Tribolium castaneum: one gene and its partner. The protein of the gene in region 2 purifies or fractionates together with the protein of the main gene of each other region. This does not show direct contact. Links are inferred from orthologs where the notes say so. Each region holds a gene or a part of one and is shown on either strand. Other genes may lie near its edges.

Evidence for each region. Proteins that work in one complex are often made in the same cells at the same time.
Region 1: the proteins of Bardet-Biedl syndrome 7 protein homolog (region 2) and BBS4 purify together in Homo sapiens (co-immunoprecipitation; 7 studies listed by BioGRID and IntAct, counting the BioPlex papers as one, with this or other methods). This does not show direct contact. The link is inferred for Tribolium castaneum from reciprocal best matches to the Homo sapiens genes BBS7 and BBS4.

The regions. Positions count from the first base shown.
Region 1 is NC_087396.1:20,709,297-20,717,117, reverse strand, and holds the end of BBS4 (Bardet-Biedl syndrome 4 protein), read left to right. Parts: intron 1-1,657; coding exon 1,658-1,820; intron 1,821-2,260; coding exon 2,261-2,414; intron 2,415-2,465; coding exon 2,466-2,588; intron 2,589-6,096; coding exon 6,097-6,268; intron 6,269-6,320; coding exon 6,321-6,514; intron 6,515-7,346; coding exon 7,347-7,514; 3' UTR 7,515-7,795; downstream 7,796-7,821.
Region 2 is NC_087402.1:9,074,662-9,083,519, forward strand, and holds Bardet-Biedl syndrome 7 protein homolog, read right to left. Parts: upstream 5,536-8,858; 5' UTR 5,448-5,535; coding exon 5,346-5,447; intron 5,305-5,345; coding exon 5,181-5,304; intron 5,135-5,180; coding exon 5,020-5,134; intron 4,967-5,019; coding exon 4,837-4,966; intron 4,794-4,836; coding exon 4,606-4,793; intron 4,560-4,605; coding exon 4,370-4,559; intron 4,249-4,369; coding exon 4,055-4,248; intron 4,007-4,054; coding exon 3,889-4,006; intron 3,842-3,888; coding exon 3,689-3,841; intron 3,637-3,688; coding exon 3,269-3,636; intron 3,221-3,268; coding exon 3,111-3,220; intron 3,062-3,110; coding exon 2,831-3,061; intron 2,781-2,830; coding exon 2,638-2,780; 3' UTR 2,553-2,637; downstream 1-2,552. Other genes in the region: nose resistant to fluoxetine protein 6, read right to left, coding at 1-29, 263-456, 508-602, 655-872, 960-1,201, 1,255-1,447; uncharacterized protein LOC107397770, read left to right, coding at 7,003-8,858.

The DNA.
Region 1 (7,821 bases), on a different chromosome or scaffold from region 2:
TATTAATATTAAAAATGCTTAAAATAAATTTTATAACATGAATATGTATATTCGTTATTTGATTCTATTAGAAAAGTACCTAATAGAATGTTTTTTTATTTTGTTAGAAAAAATATTGTTTGACTCATTCGTTCCGATTCTAGAATTCTTTTAAATGGGTTGAAAGTAAATTTCAGTTTTGCTTTTAACGATTAAAATTGTTTAAGATACGTACCATAATAATTCTTTTACCAAAAAAATTTCAACCAAAACGCATGTTTTAAATACCATGAATATTAAAAATTAATAAATCACGAGCTTACTCAAAATTACAGTATTTCACGAAAAATTTTATACAGCCTTGTTTTTTTAGGTTCTTTAGTCTTTATCTATATACAATTCTCTTGTCATTTACAGTAATATTGAAAACCATTTAAGTCAATGCGACTAAAGTTATTTAAAAAACAGATAAAGTTAAAATAATTATCACTTTAGTAATTGTCCATTTGCTGTTTTGTTTTTTATTTTTTTGTTATTTTTTCTAATATTAATGTTTTTTACTTTGCTTCTATATTATTAAGAATACTAGGTATAGGTACTTTTTTCACATTACTTTAAAGAAATTATAAAAAATATATAATTTTTTTTTATTCTGTATATGATTTTTTAGGTAGTCTTGGGATTTTATTTCATACTTTATGTTTTGTTTTCTTTTGAGAGAGGATAAGTTGAATGGCATTGCTGGACCTTGGCTCTTTACATTATTTTTTTTCTTCTTTAATAAAAGCCTTTTTTATTATTATTATTATTATTATTATTATTATTATTATTATTATTATTATTATTATTATTTTATTATTATTATTATTACTATTATTATTATTATTATTATTATTATTAAATATGCATGAAAGTATGTACTCGTAAATTATTGGATCTTTAAATAAAACAAAATTATTTGCCAAAGTTTTGTCGGCAAATTATATTTTTCCAGTTTGGCAGCAAAAAAAACGACCATTATCTTCTTGGAATGTCATCTGAAATAAGCAGAAAAATTACTAAGTTGCATTGAAACTAACATTAAATTTTATTTTTTTAGATTTTCCCAGTACCTTATTACTTTTATCAGTCAGAAAAACAATTCTAAGCTAAGAAAACACAAAAATAGATCGAAAATTATGTAATCTTTCTCTTATTCTGGATTTTCAGCACGTTTTTGAGCTGATCATTTATTTTTCTTGAAGGTTTACCTAATCTGTAAATCTGTTTACTATGTTAACTTAAAAAATCTGAGCCTTTGGCTTGGCTTTTTTCATCGGAAACGCTTAAATACGCCGAAAAATCAGTCAGAAAAGCGTGGAATTTCGCCAAAAATAAACCAAAAATCACAAATTTGGTCACAAAAAACGTGAAGTTTGCTTTTTTCGTACGTTTAAAAGCAGAAATACTTTCAGGTATTTTCGATTTGAAAGTGGCGTTATTTTTGCCTTTAATCAGATTTTATTAACAAAACTCTCGATTTTTTTTTCAATTAAACTTTGTCCAAGTATTCAATTGCTTGTCGCAGTGTTTGATTTCCTGATTTCCACAGCCAGTAAACCCTTATCCAAAAAAAAAATGGTCTCTGGATTATTTTTTCTATAAGCACATTCCTAGTCATGACTTTTCTATCACAAAGGCCAATGTCTGATGAGACTCGGCGAAACAGCCAAATCAAAGGAATACGCACACAAAGCTGTCCAATTGGGGAAACACGAAGCCGCTTATTCGCTCCTCATCAAAATACTTACATCAGAAGGTGATCTACGAAGCGCCATTTCAGTGTGTAACGCTGCAATCGAGTGAGTAAAAAATTACACAAGATTTGTTGTTAAAAAAAGCCTTTGCGCGTTTGATTTGAATTTATATGGCGTACTTTTGAAGTCGTGAAAGAGGAAAATTCAAACGAGGCAGCGATGATGCATACATATTTTATGAATTTATTCGACTTCCGTTTCATGTCGCAGTTTCGCGTCTGCACATTTAACTTGACACCGTGTAGAAAACGCACTTTTTGCGTAGGTAAACATCGGAATTTTCTCGAATTAGGCGCAGACAGTAAAATTTATTTCCAGAATTCCACCTCTTATTTGCTTATGATAACAGGCGTTTCTCCGCCTGATCATAAAAATATCGGTTTTCAATCAATGTAAGACGTTCGAAAAGTTTCCCAATAACGGCATGAATACATTACGGCATAATGAGCATCCTGAATTTGATATTAAAAAAACGCACTTTCTAGATCCTGCCCAGACAGTGTTAACTTGCTGACTGAAACAGGCCTTTTGTGTCTGAAGTTGGGGCAGACACAGTTTGCATTCGAGCGATTGAGTTCCGCTCTAGCTCTAGATCCGGTTTGTGCAAAAGCTCTACTTGGGATCGGATGCATCACTCAAGTAATACATCTCCAAATTGCGGAAACAGTTTTATTGGATGATTTGTTTCAGTCGCACGATGAGCACGATGTCGCTTTGACCAAATACAAAGTGGCTGTTTCGTACGAGCCGAATTCGGTGGCGCTTTGGAATAACATTGGACTGTGTTTCTACTCTAAACAAAAATATGTGGCGGTAGGTGAATGGGTCCAGGGGAAAAACCCATGAAATTTTATTGTATTATTTTTTTAACACAGAGTTGTCCAATTTTTAATTTATTTGAGATCATCAGTATCAATAATTCAACATTAAACTGCTACAGGGGCGTTACTTTGAATGGCGGACTCAAAAATCTAGAAAAATTTAAAACTGTAGCCTAATTAGAAAAACGTGCTTTAGGGGTAGATATTTGATCATTGATATACTTAGGTAAAAAATAATTGGACTTTTCGTAATCTATTTTTCTCAAAAAAAATTGTTTTCCGATTAATAGTTTTTGAGAAAACTGCAAACAATGCAATAATTATAAAAAAAAATTGTAACTTAAAAACCATCGAAAATTTGGCAATTTTTTTGACGCCAATCCATTTCCCGGATTATTTTACGTTGGTTTACATTAAAAAAGTTCCACTTTTTCGAATGGTTTTGCTGTAATCGACGTTTGAAAAGTGATTGTGTGAATATTTCAACATGTTTTTTGACATTCATTGGGCAATAACTTTGGAACTAATAGACATAACCCTATTATGTTTATTATCGTTGGAAAGCTCTTTTGATTTACAATTCTTTCCAAAAAAGATCATTGTTCTGCGATGAATAGTTTTTGCGAAAATTGCAAACAAAGCAAAAATTAAAAAAAAAATCACAACTTAAAAACCATTGAGAATTTGCCAATTTTCTCGACGCCAATGGATTTGCCAGATCATTTTACATAAGTTTAAATTAAAATAGTTCTACTTTTTTGAATATTTTTTTTGTAATCGGCGTTTGAAAAGTGATTGTGTGAATATTTCAACATGTTTTTGATATTCATCGGGCAATAACTTTGGAACAATAGACATAACCTTATTATGTTTATTATCGTTAGAAAGCTCTTTTAATATTCTATTTTTTTCAAAAAAAAATCATTGTTTTGCGATGAATAGTTTTTGTAAAAATTGCAAATAAAGCAAAAATTAAAAAAAATCACAACTTAAAAACCATTAAGAATTTGTCAATTTTCTCGACGCCAATCGATTTCTCAGATCATTTTACATACGTTTATGTTAAAATAGTTTCACTTTTTTGAATAGCTTTGCTGTAATCGACATTTGAAAAGTACTTGTGTGAATATTTCAACATGTTTTCGACATTCTTCCGGCAAGAACTCCTGAACTAATAGACATAACCCTATTATGTTTATTATCGCTGGAAAGCTCTTTTGATATTGTATTCTTCTCAAAAAAGATCATTGTTTTCCAATTAATAGTTTTTACAAAAATTGCAAATAAAGCAAAAATTTAAAAAAAATCACAACTTTAAAACCATTGAGAATTTGTCAATTTTCTCGACGCCAATCGATTTCCCAGATCATTTTACATACATTTGTGTTAAAATAGTTCCACTTTTTCAAATAGCTTTGCTGTAATCGACATTCGAAAAGTACTTGTGTGAATATTTCAACATGTTTTCGACATTCATCCAGCAATAACTTCGGAACTAATAGACATAACCCTATTATGTTTATTATCGCTGGAAAGCTTTTTTGATATTGTATTCTTTTCAAAAAAAATTATTGTTCTCCGATAAATAGTTTTTGCGAAAATTGCAAACAAAGCAAAGATTAAAAAAAAATCACAACTTTAAAACCATTAAGAATTTGTCAATTTTTTCGACTCCAATCGATTTCTCAGATCATTTTACATACGTTTATGTTAAAATAGTTTCACTTTTTCGAATAGCTTTGCTGTAATCGACATTTGAAAAGTACTTGTGTGAATATTTCAACATGTTTTCGACATTCTTCCGGCAATAACTCCTGAACTAATAGACATAACCCTATTATGTTTATTATCGCTGAAAAGCTCTTTTGATATTGTATTCTTCTCAAAAAAAAATATTGTTCTCCGATAAATAGTTTTTGCGAAAATTGCAAACAAAGCAAAGATTAAAAAAAAATCACAACTTTAAAACCATTAAGAATTTGTCAATTTTCTCGACGTCAATCGATTTCCCAGATCATTTTACATACATTTGTGTTAAAATAGATCCACTTTTTCAAATAGCTTTGCTGTAATCGACATTCGAAAAGTACTTGTGTGAATATTTCAACATATTTTCGACATTCATCCAGCAATAACTTCGGAACTAATAGACATAACCCTATTATGTTTATTATCGCTGGAAAGCTCTTTTGATATTGTATTCTTCTCAAAAAAAATCATTGTTCTCCGATAAATAGTTTTTGCGAAAATTGCAAACAAAGCAAAGATTAAAAAAAAATCACAACTTTAAAACCATTAAGAATTTGTCAATTTTCTCGACGCCAATCGATTTCTCAGATCATTTTACATACATTTGTGTTAAAATAGTTCCACTTTTTCAAATAGCTTTGCTGTAATCGACATTCGAAAAGTACTTGTGTGAATATTTCAACATGTTTTCGACATTCTTGCGGCAATAACTCCTGAACTAATAGACATAACCCTATTATGTTTATTATCGCTGGAAAGCTCTTTTGATATTGTATTCTTCTCAAAAAAAATCATTGTTCTCCGATAAATAGTTTTTGCGAAAATTGGAAACAAAGCAAAAATTAAAAAAAAATTACAACTTAAAAACCATTGAGAATTTGTCAATTTTCTCAACGCCAATGGATTTCCCAGATCATTTTACATAAGTTTTAATTAAAATAGTTCCACTTTTTCGAATGGTTTTGCTGTAATCGGTGTTTGAAAAGTGATTTTGTGAATATTTCAACATGCTTTTGACATTCATCCGGCAATAACTTCGGAACTAATAGACATAACTTTATTATGTTTATTATCGTTGGAAAGCTCTTTTGATATTCTATTCTTTTTAAAAAAGATTATTGTTCTCCGATTAATAGTTTTTGCGAAAATTGCAAACAAAGCAAAAATTAAAAAAAAATTACGACTTGAAAACCATTGAGAATTTGTCAATTTTCTCGACACCAGTCGATTTCCCAGATAATTTTACATAAGTTTATATTAAAATAGCTCAACTTTTTCGAATAGTTATGCCGTAATCAACGTTTGAACAGTGAATATTTTTGACATTTATCGGTCAATAACGCCGGAACTATTAGACGTAACCCCCTTAAGTCTATTATCGTTGAAAAAAAACTTTGTACTCTGATTAATACTTTTCGAAAAAATTGCAAACAAATACAAAAATTAAAGTGCAGTTTTCAACTCTCCGTTATGATTAAACTGGAATTGTGTTCGTTGATTTTTTTCCAAGCAGTCACCGTGGTTTTTAAGCCTTCTGTAATAATGGCTCCATCTGGAACGTTCTGATTCTTTTAATAATCCTTACCTACACTGCATCTGCCTACTTATTGGTATTTATAGCCGCGGAAATAAGTGTGTGCCTTTGGTAAAAAGTTGCAGCTTTTGTCGGTGGGTTTTTTCCTTTGTGCGCCCACTCCCAAATTTATTTTATATCCTTCGTTTAAATTTACATAGTCGGTTGTTTGTTGCAGGCAATAAGCTGCTTGAAGCGGGCCTTATGGATATCGCCAACAAACTGGCGAGTGCTTTTTAACTTGGGTTTAGTTCATCTTGCCACTTATCAGCCCGCATCTGCGTTTAACTTCTTATGTGCTGCTGTCAATCTGCGGCCAGACGTGCCTCATTCCTTCACAGGATTAGGATGTAAATTTGTAGCGGGAAGTTTCCTTCCTGCCAAAAATTGCTCAATTTTTAGGTGCCTTATTTGAATTGAACGATGGAGAGAACGCAGAAAGGGCCTTCAAGCAGGCGATGGCTCTGGCTCCGGACGATCCGGTCATTGTTGTTAATAATGTCGTTTGTTTGGCGGGGATGGACCGGAAGGAGGAGGCAAAGGATTTGTTTCAGAAATTTAACAGTTTGCTGCAGGATGGGGTTGTTTCGAAGGAGGTAGGCTAAGGAGGCAGTGGCGTAACTCAGTACATTCGGGGCAATTTTAATAAAAAATATTAGCTGTTTTTTTAATATATTACACAAAAACTAAAAATAACGTAAAAAATTGCATTTTAAAGGGGGTATAAAAAGTACAGCAAAAAAAATTCGACCTAAAAAAGTATGTAAATTCAAAAACTACAAAAGTCTAAATTTTTCCAAAACTTCGACTTCAAATCAAGCAATAATCATGTATGATGGGAAATTCTTGGCAAGGGTAATATCTACCCTAAATACTTTCAGTGGTGTTTGTTTACCTCATCTTCCCTGAAAGCATTGGAATTTCCAAAATATTTTTCCAAAAATTTGATTTTTTTTAATTAATTTCCGAAATATTTAGCTTTCTTCAATTGCCATTAATTAGTTTTCCACAAAAATTTAAAATTTGAGGTTAGCCATTTCATAAAGGAAAACTTAATTTTTTAACAAAAAAAATCATAACTTAAAAACTAGAAGTCCTAGAGTCAAAAATTTGTTCCAGTAAACTCTAAGGCTCATTTTACGTATTACGCTATTTTTTTTACAACAAAAGCTTACTCTAGAACTCATTTAAAAGCCTACTTTAATTTGAAAAATGGTGGATGCGCCGGGTTATTTATTAAAATGTCATAACTTTAAAACTAAAAATTGTAAAGCAAAACGGTTTATTCCAATAAATTTTGCGTTTAATTCTGTGTATTATACCAACTTTTCACAAAATTTAAAATTTTTGGTCAAATTTTATGCGCAAAAATTTTAAGTTACGCCACTGGCGTAGTTTGATCCGGAGGGAGTTTAAAGTGTGTTTTAGGTCGTGGCCATCGCCGAGAAATTGGCAACGGTGTTTGAGGTGGATGGAAATGACGAAAGTTATAAAAATGAAGAGAGTAAAGACGTTATAAATAAAAGTATCAACGAAACGGATGAACTTGCCAGTGGTGACTTATCGCCCAGGGAACTTGCAGCTGATGAAGTGTAGACATAATGTATACAGAGTGTGCATTACTTATAGAACCCGAATAAATTTGTCCTAGATTTTATCCGAGCCATATTTTAAAAAATATCACTTGGTTGTGACACCTTGACAGGCCTCATCTTTATTAATTTGCGCAAGAAATTGAATAAAATTTAGGTCACGCTAAAATCAAATATTGATTTTGTAATTTAAATTCGAAAAAATGTAATAGAACCTTATACTTTATTCACACACAAGTTGTAATAAAATTCCGAAATAAAATAAAGTTTTTTTTGTTGCATGAATTATTTAATATTTTTATTTGGAGCAT
Region 2 (8,858 bases):
AGAGCGGTCGCCTCAATTCGGCCGTACATCTAAAATTTTTATTGATTTAATTCTCTAGAAGATTGCCTTGCGACAACTTTATGAAAAAATGTGTGTAACGTTTTCTAAAAACCCGCGATTTTTGAAAAAAAGTGAATGGGAATATCCTTGACATTTTGAAATCCTGTTTAGCTGCAATTGTGGAAAAATCGAACAGTTTTTTGTTATATTTGGAAAGATTCTAAAAAACCGAATAATTTAAAATTGAAATGAGTTTACTTACGTTTTCGACGAAGCTCGGGTTCATTAGCGGTGACCCAATCCCGAACATGATTCTGTGTCCCATGATAATTAAAAACATGGAAATGACTTTTAGGCCGTGGATGCACTGAAGCCCATCGTCATTTTCAGTTTCATGGCTTAGTTTTTTCAGGTTTGACCATAAGGAGAACGACATTAAAACTTTATGTTTTTTTCCTGAAACGCACAATAAACAAGAAATATTATGTTACGTACTGATTTTATTACCCTCAAGTCGATATTTTTTTAAATCGTCCAATTTTATTAACCAGTCGTAGGACGTGGCAATACATGCTAAAAGAATAAAAAACAGGACCACGCACCTGAAAGGATTTGCATTCAGTCAAACGTAATTAATTAAACGTGAATAATTACGTAAAACCAATATCAGCACCGGAGAATTTTAATTCAGGTTTAAGTTGACAATTCCGCGGATTTACACTTGCCGTGACTTTGAAATCGCTGAAAGAATTCAACTTCGCAGTGACTTGTTTCAGCGAAGATTCCAGATCGTCGTAAGTGCAAGACGATGGGATGCAGTACGAAAAGAAAAATTCGTTCCTAGTGTTGCGAGACCTTTTATTCGAAAATGCCTAAAATTGTTAAAAATGCAAAAATCCATCAACAAGGTGATAATTTATTTATGCAAATACTGTTTCACAAAAACCTGATTTACTCACAATCATTTTTTCCCACGTGGAGGCATTAATAAAATAATTATCTCCGTTAAAAAAACGTGCGTATTTTTGTTCCTCATGCTTGAAATCGGGTGGTGCGATGTGAAATTTGGCCATACAGTACCTCCCCTGTATTTTTTCCTCGGTCACAGGTCCACTCACTTCGACGCATTCGTCAAAATTTCCAAAATCGTAGGTCGAGCCCGACAAAAGGCCGGTGGGGAATTTGGACGAAGCATCAAACACTGTTAAAAATGATGTATTAAACACTGGAGCACCACCGACACGAAAAACCTACTTTCCGTCGCCCACAGTCTCAATTTTTTCAACTCTTCGACGTAAAAAATCGTGTCATTTCGGCACTGGGGGTTGTCCGAATTGAGCGTCGGTACCAAAATGTGCAAAACTTCTTCCAGAGGCACGCTTCCGAATTGGACAGCTCGGGCCAAGTTGAAGAAAACGCACAAAACTAGAGCTTTGTATCCGATCATTGTGACATAATTCTTGCAAATGGACGAAAAGCTTCAGCAACGCTTCGCTATAAAGGACTAGAGACTGACGAATTTCAGACGGGAAGGTCACTTCAGCTGGAAAAAACAACGCTAATGGTGGAAGTGGAAATTGTTGGTGGATTTTTCAGAACGCCGGGTTTATTGGACAAGATTCAGTTAATTAAGTAAATTTGTACGTACCTAGAGTCACCTTGAGAATAACCAGCTCTTCGTAAAGTGGTGAAAAACTAGCACTGGGCACTTGTTGAGATGGACTTGTTTGTTCCTGAAAGGGATTATTAATACCACATTTTTTCGCGTTTTTCGCAGGTATATAGCTAATCTTGAGGGTAGCGCATTGACCCAAGTTTTTGGACTGGTTTCAGTCGCAAGCCCCATTCGCGGGGTATGGAATTTTTTCAACGGACTCAAAACACCGGAATTTTTATCAACGAGATACCATAATTATGCACTGGGATTCCACCGTTTGTACTACTTGTGTCGTTCACTAATTACATTTGTGTTTTGATAGGTAATGACCCAAAATTTTCAAATTGTAGCTGATAAGAGCTCGTCATTTTAATAATAATAATTATTGTTTTAACTGAATTAAAAATTTGACAACTCATTGGCATTAACATGAGGTAGTAACAGAAAAATTTTGCTATCTCGAGTGATCACATTGCCTGAAAGCTTTAGAATTTTTATCACATCAGAAAAAACAAATAAGCATAATGATGCTAAGATATTTTTCGTGTACCCGAACTGAAATATTTGAAGAAATAGTCCGTGTTACACATGTGTTTAAATCCAAGGTTTCGTTTTTTAAATTTTCAATAAAAAAGGGAAAGAATTTTATTTTGCGGTAAAGTTTCTGGTTCTGTGTGAATTATTCATTATTGTGTCCGCTAAAGTTTCCATTAAGAGTTTTATTCGAGAATTTCTTTAGAGACAAAAAGCAGATTGTTTGGAAATTAAAAATTAAAATTATTCACCTTTAGACTACATGCAGTTAAAAAATTCCGCAACACACAACCACTCACTCAAACCAATTAAAAATTTAAAACAGTTTTTAAGTTGTCGGGTACCATAGTAAAAAACTAGCCACTAAGCAAATTTTTATTTAAATAAACAGAAACAACGACATTGAAAATGCACATTCGACTGAGTAATCATAATATTTTCCAATGCTATTTAGACAATTCTGGGCGGAAAAATTGTATCAAGGCATCATAAGAGTACTCATCAAGGATCTCCCGGAGAGTCGCTAATTTCGATTTTACGTTGCACCCCTTGAACTTGTTGTAATCAATGTATAAGTCAGTAACAATACCTGGAAAAATCAAATCAATTACTGTTAGTGTATCGAGTCAATTTTAGTACCATAAAGACGATCTAAATAATCAGGTTGGCTCTGAAACTCCTTCCTTAGTTCTTTTTCATTAGCCAACAAATTTCGGTACTTTTCCGACAAACAAGTCCTGTTTTCTTCTTCTGTCACTTCTAACTCATTCAAAGCGTTCAACAACTTAATATCGTTATTCAAATCCTTCTGCTTAATTAACTTTGGTTCGATCAGCTTAATTACATGATTAATACTTTCATCGTTGATATCTAGAACCCCAAAGTAGTACCGTTGTTAATAATAATTATTGTAACTAACTTGAGCTAATGCTAATTTTAATTTTTTTCTTTGTGGCTTCCACCGTTAGAAATTCTTTCAAAATAGAGATTGTTGACACGTTATCAGATTTAAAGAACGCTTCTCCTTTCCTAAAAGTCAAGTCAGTCACTAGGTACTCAAAACTTGGTACTATTTACTGGTAGGAGCACTGTAAGATGGTTCCGAAAAAAGTCGACTGGAAATACAGCACCGTATTTTCCCCAAATTGGGGCTTTTCGGGTACTTCGGGCAAACTTTGCGACACCCAAGTGTGCATTTCGGCCAAACTGAAAGTACCGGTGATTGTCAAAGTGTTAAACAATCGACTCTCGTCAAATTTGTGAATCCTGTAATGCAAAGAAAGCGGTTTAATTTCGAACTGTATAAGCCTGCTACATTTTGGTTGGACCAGAGGCGTGACATAAGCGTGGAGAAGACCGTGTTGACCCTCAATGGTTCTAATTTTAATTTCGAGCCGGTTGGTATTGACCTGACACCGGTAAGTGGCCAGTAAAAAATTTCCGATCTGTATTATTTCAGCTTGTAAACAAACAGACATTTAGAGTTTATTAACTCACGGCGTGATCCGCATCGCTGTAACTGATCACGGCCGAATTTTTCTCCACGTCTAGCAAGTCGATAGCGACGTTGCTTTGCAGGAGAATATTGTCGATAGCCGTTGGAACCTCTAAAGTCAAGGTATAAGTCGCTGTGTCTTTAGATAACACGAACTGGAAATCAAAGCTTGAGCGAAAATTTTCCCACTGCGTCACCTAACTGAATCTTTGACTGAAAGCAAGGGAATTGCCGACAACTCCTCGAAGAAAGATTGGGTCGAGTTTTGATATTTCTCTCGTTCTTTGGCCACTTTGACTTGCAAGTCCTCAATTTCGCTCCTGCAAAGAGGGATAAAAATTCCGAACGGGGTTTTTGACCAAATTTACTTCAATTTGTTGATTTTGTTCCCCGTATCTTGCGAAAAAATGTAATTGCCCATGGTGTTGTCAGCTACGCTTTTGTCAACTGCCTCCGTGGTGAGGCCGAAAATTCGGCCAGTGTAGGTCACCACCAACACTTCGTCGAAACCTTGGGTTCCGATGACCCCACATTGCAATGATGAAACACTTTCGTTGCAATTCTGCAGGAAAAAGTGATAGTGACATTGATCTTGATCATATAGAACCGGTTGGAAGTCTTATTAATCGGTTTTTGTCTGCGTGAGCTGGGTCGATGAATCGACCAAGGTCGGTAGTACTCACATGGGAATAAATCAGGATTGGGGCGTCTAAATTATCATTTACATTGATAACGTATACTTCAATGGTGCCATCTTGGCGCCCTAAAATCAGGTTTTTGGTACCGCTGCTGGTCATGTCGTAAGAGTCCACGCACGAGATGGTACTCGAGTTTGAGGAATTGTCGATAAGCCAGCGGTCAAAGCCGTGCAATCTATTTACGAAAAATTAACTATAAATCAATTCGATTTTTTATTTACTTTTCCACGTCTAGAATCCCAATTCGGCCGTCCACGGTACCAAACAGCACTGTCTTGGTACCATCCTGTTCAAGGACATGAAGAAGAGTTGGTGCACTCTCAACCTCCATACTCAGAGTGACCCTTGCATGTTCCAAGGCTCGTATCATTCGTCCTTCACACGCAATCAAGGACATAAGCCTACGAGTCTGAACCTTTGTTATTTATTGCAATTCAGAATAATTTTTATACCTTGTCAGCATAAAACGCGATTACGTCGACGATTTGATCACCACATAAATACGAACCCACATCTTTACAATCCCTGAAGTGATTGTAGATGTGTTTGCCGCACAAAAATAAATCGTTGCCCAAAACAAACCTACAGCATTTTATTAGGGACAAATTATTTTAACTGTATATACGAGTCCTAACATTGACGAGACGGGTTCAGTCATTCCTGGGTCAAAAGTCAGAAACAGTTTCCCTTTTTTGGTGTACCCCCTTATTTCATTTTCCGCAGCAATAAATATTTTATCGCTTGAGCTCCCTTGAAGTAAATTAATGACCACGTTGCGGTTTAGAAGGATAGTTACCGTGAGCGCCACCTAGTTGCAAGGACGATATTTTAGGTCCTGGCAATGTTTTAAAATGTAATTGAATATCCTCTTTCTTGACTGAGAATATTTGTAAAATTCCGTCACTGTCAGCTACTGCAACCTTTAATTTGGGTTATTTATGGCCGGGTTGAAGTAGCTTACCTTTTGGGGTTCTTTCGACGCGCTTGGTGGCAGGAGTTTGAGGCAGTTTTGAGACGTAATGCCCACAATAGTATAATCGACTCGTGATAATTCCAATTCCATTTTATTTTTTGTTTTGGATTAATGAAGATTGCTTTGTCAGACTATGCAGGGAAAATCGATGAGGGAGGTAGGGAGGGACATGCTGGTTGCTAAGTTTGAATACAAACACTGTTTTCTAGCTCGAAATTCGTTTATTTCCCAATAAGATAGGTTTTTATGTAGCGTATCCAAAAATGCGTATTATAGTATTTGTTACAAATTCTTGTGGTCGGGAATAGCCTACGGGCCATTCTTTCCGTTGCAAACATTTCGGTGGCCAAAAAAAAAACAATTAAGGAGATTATTTAAATCACATTGTTAGACCGAATTCGGCTTTTTTCTCCGGCTAAATTTAAATAAGCAAGTTTTTGGCCCAATCACTGGCTAAATCATTCAAAATTGACTGAAATTACATAAACAAATACCTCATAAATAATTAATAATAAGATATGCCGATGTTTTCAGTTAGTTGTTATTTTTTTTTATATTTTTATTTACCTACCTATAGGTATGTTTAGTTACCTACATTTTTTTAAATACCTACCTTTCGGTTTGTTTTTTTTAACATTCCTTGTTCTTGTTATCATAAATAATTATTTAACCATAATTCAAAATTCATTCATCTGTTGGAGCGATGACACTCCGACCATTGCACTCAACGATGAGTAACCTCATGGTAGTGTAAAAACCCAAAAGCCAGTAACATAATGATGATTGATGAGGAAAGTAAAGATTATTTAATATGTATACATATTGAGAGTTTTGACTTCGTGCAATGACATGCATTTTTGCATTTCCTATGTAAGCCACACTTATAATAATGTAATAGGTACGACTTCTTCTTCCAAATTCCTTTTCTAAAACTTTCCATTCTTGTTTTTTGGGAACATAATGTCGTCAGAGGTGGCTTTTTTATTTTAATTTATCAAAGTATCAAAGTCAACAAATACTGACTTGTATGCAAATTTCTTATTTTAATATCTATTTTCGTAAACGGTTGTTTTTCAATTCAGATTTTAATTTTTTTTACAAAAATTTTTTTGAATTTAAATGAATTTTTTACGGCACAGTTTGTTGGATAAAACTAAAAAAGTAGAACTTGATTTTTGCGTATTTTCCAATAACTAGTCGCAATTTTATTGCAAAGAATGACTAATGAACGACCTGAAAAATATTTAGGAAGCGACCTTGATCAAATGTACACAAAAAGTGAGTAATCTAATCTCATACGGTGTAAGTTTATAAAAAAATCGCATTGTACGCGTATAAGGAGTGAGCTGTAATTTTGAAACTTGAGTTTTTTGCAACTTTTCAACAAAAAAAGGTAAATCCAACTTATCCAACTTGTATTGATCAAGATAGAAATTCGTTGCAATTTATTCAGCTTAACCTCAAAAACCTTTTTGTATTATTTCGCAACTATATGATATTTTGTTTATATATCATTAAGATAACGTAATAATGCTCATTAAATCTCAATCTACCCACCTTCATAAGGCATCAAAATCAAAATTATTTTGGGTGTATAGTTGGTTGCCTAGCCACTTGCATTTTTAACATTTTTCCAGTTGATATTATGGACGTAAAGGAGTTCACACAACGCTTCCACAATCTCGCCGGTGTCACAATCGGTGAAAAAAGGAAGTCTCTCTTTATCCTTCTGCGAAACTTACCTTCAGATCAGTCTGCCCTCATCACTTCCATAACTCCCAAAAATCATTTGGAACAACTTTTTAAGTTGGAAGTTTTAATCCGACTACAAAGTATCCCCCATTTAATCGAAGTACTTAAATGCGAAGAAGAACTCCTTCCCGCAAAATTATTAAAAAACAAGTGGTTTTGCCAAAAACTGGCATCGATTCTTGACGAAGACAGCTCAAATTTTGTGAACACTATTCTCCCCTTTACATCTTTCGTCATACGAATGAGAATAATCGCAAAACTTGCTCTGTACGGTACGAAAATGGACAATGTGTACGACGATATTTACAAGCGATATGGGTTCCACATTGCGACGAAGGTTTTGGTAGGTTGCAGCGAATCAAAAATTCGAAATGTTTTGCAAAACGGAGACGTCGTTCTCTCGCCTCGCGACCTCAAAATATTGTACCTTAAACACCCACAAGTGTTTCAATTTTATTTGAAACAGAACGGTTCCATTGACGATGACTCAGTTTTGAGTTTTGTTGCACGAAGAGATAAGAAAACGTTCCTCGAGCTAATGAAAACTTTCAAATTACGGGCAAACATTGGTAAACGACTCACCAGACACTTGTTGAACACTTACAATGATTTAATAATCGCACAAGCAAAAACACTGAGTACGTGTCTTCGCATGAAAACAGTCATCAAAACACTAAGTCAAGACGATTTTAAGAGATTTTTCTTCAACTGTTTGCCCGAAACTTTCGAAGGCTTGCGTTATGCCTCTTACGAAATGCAGCGAAAAATTGGGAAAAAATATTACAAACTGCTTTTGGAAGGAATGAAAGAGGTTTATAATAAGAGTTTGTACGATTATCCCGACTACGTCAGTGAAGATATGATGCGATTTATGGATGTTGAAGAAAGGGAAAAGTGGATCGAACTGAAGAAGAAAAGTGGTACCCCGGAAGCAGATTTGGTCAAATTTATGAGACCCTCTCTTTCCATTCCTTGGATTAAAAATAAAATTAATGTTACGTCCGCTGTTACGTCCCGAGATGACCTCGCTTGTCTGCTCCTTGAAACGTGCAAAATAAACAATGATTTGCACGCGTTGGCCGAAGTTTTGGAATATTTTTGCAAGAGACACAGAAATGACGATGAAAGTGTCATACGCAACTTTCTATACAAACTTAGCAATTTGTACAAAATTGAAAAATTTGAAGAACGCCACTGGAAATGTATCAACACGCTAAATAATATTCTGGACATGAAGGGACACAATTCTTACTTCGGTTACGATTACGAGCTTAAATATGTCGAATTTTTGTTCTCCAATAAGAAATTAACCGACGAGCACGTGTATAAATTTTTGAAACTAACCAAAGGGGTTAATTACTGGGAGAACAAAGTCAAGAGTGAACCTTTGAAAAAAATATTTCTATTAAAAACTATTGAACTCATGCCCGAACTGACGGACGAGAAGAAAGGAATCCACTTGGAGGATTTGTTAATCATAAGCTGGATTTTTGGTTGGAACAAAAAACACCCCAATGACCAGATTAATTTTTTAAGTTACCCCAGATTGGCAGAATCGTTTCGTAAGGCACAAAACGAGGCACTGAATACCACCGAATTCAATCTAAAACGGAGAACTTTGTCGCACTTATACGAAACCATCATATGTACGAAAGAAAAGTCACAATTCCGAGAAGACACAATAAAAAATTACTTTCTGCTAGATTACCCGTTTTACAATGAAACAATTGATTTCTGGTTATTGAAACA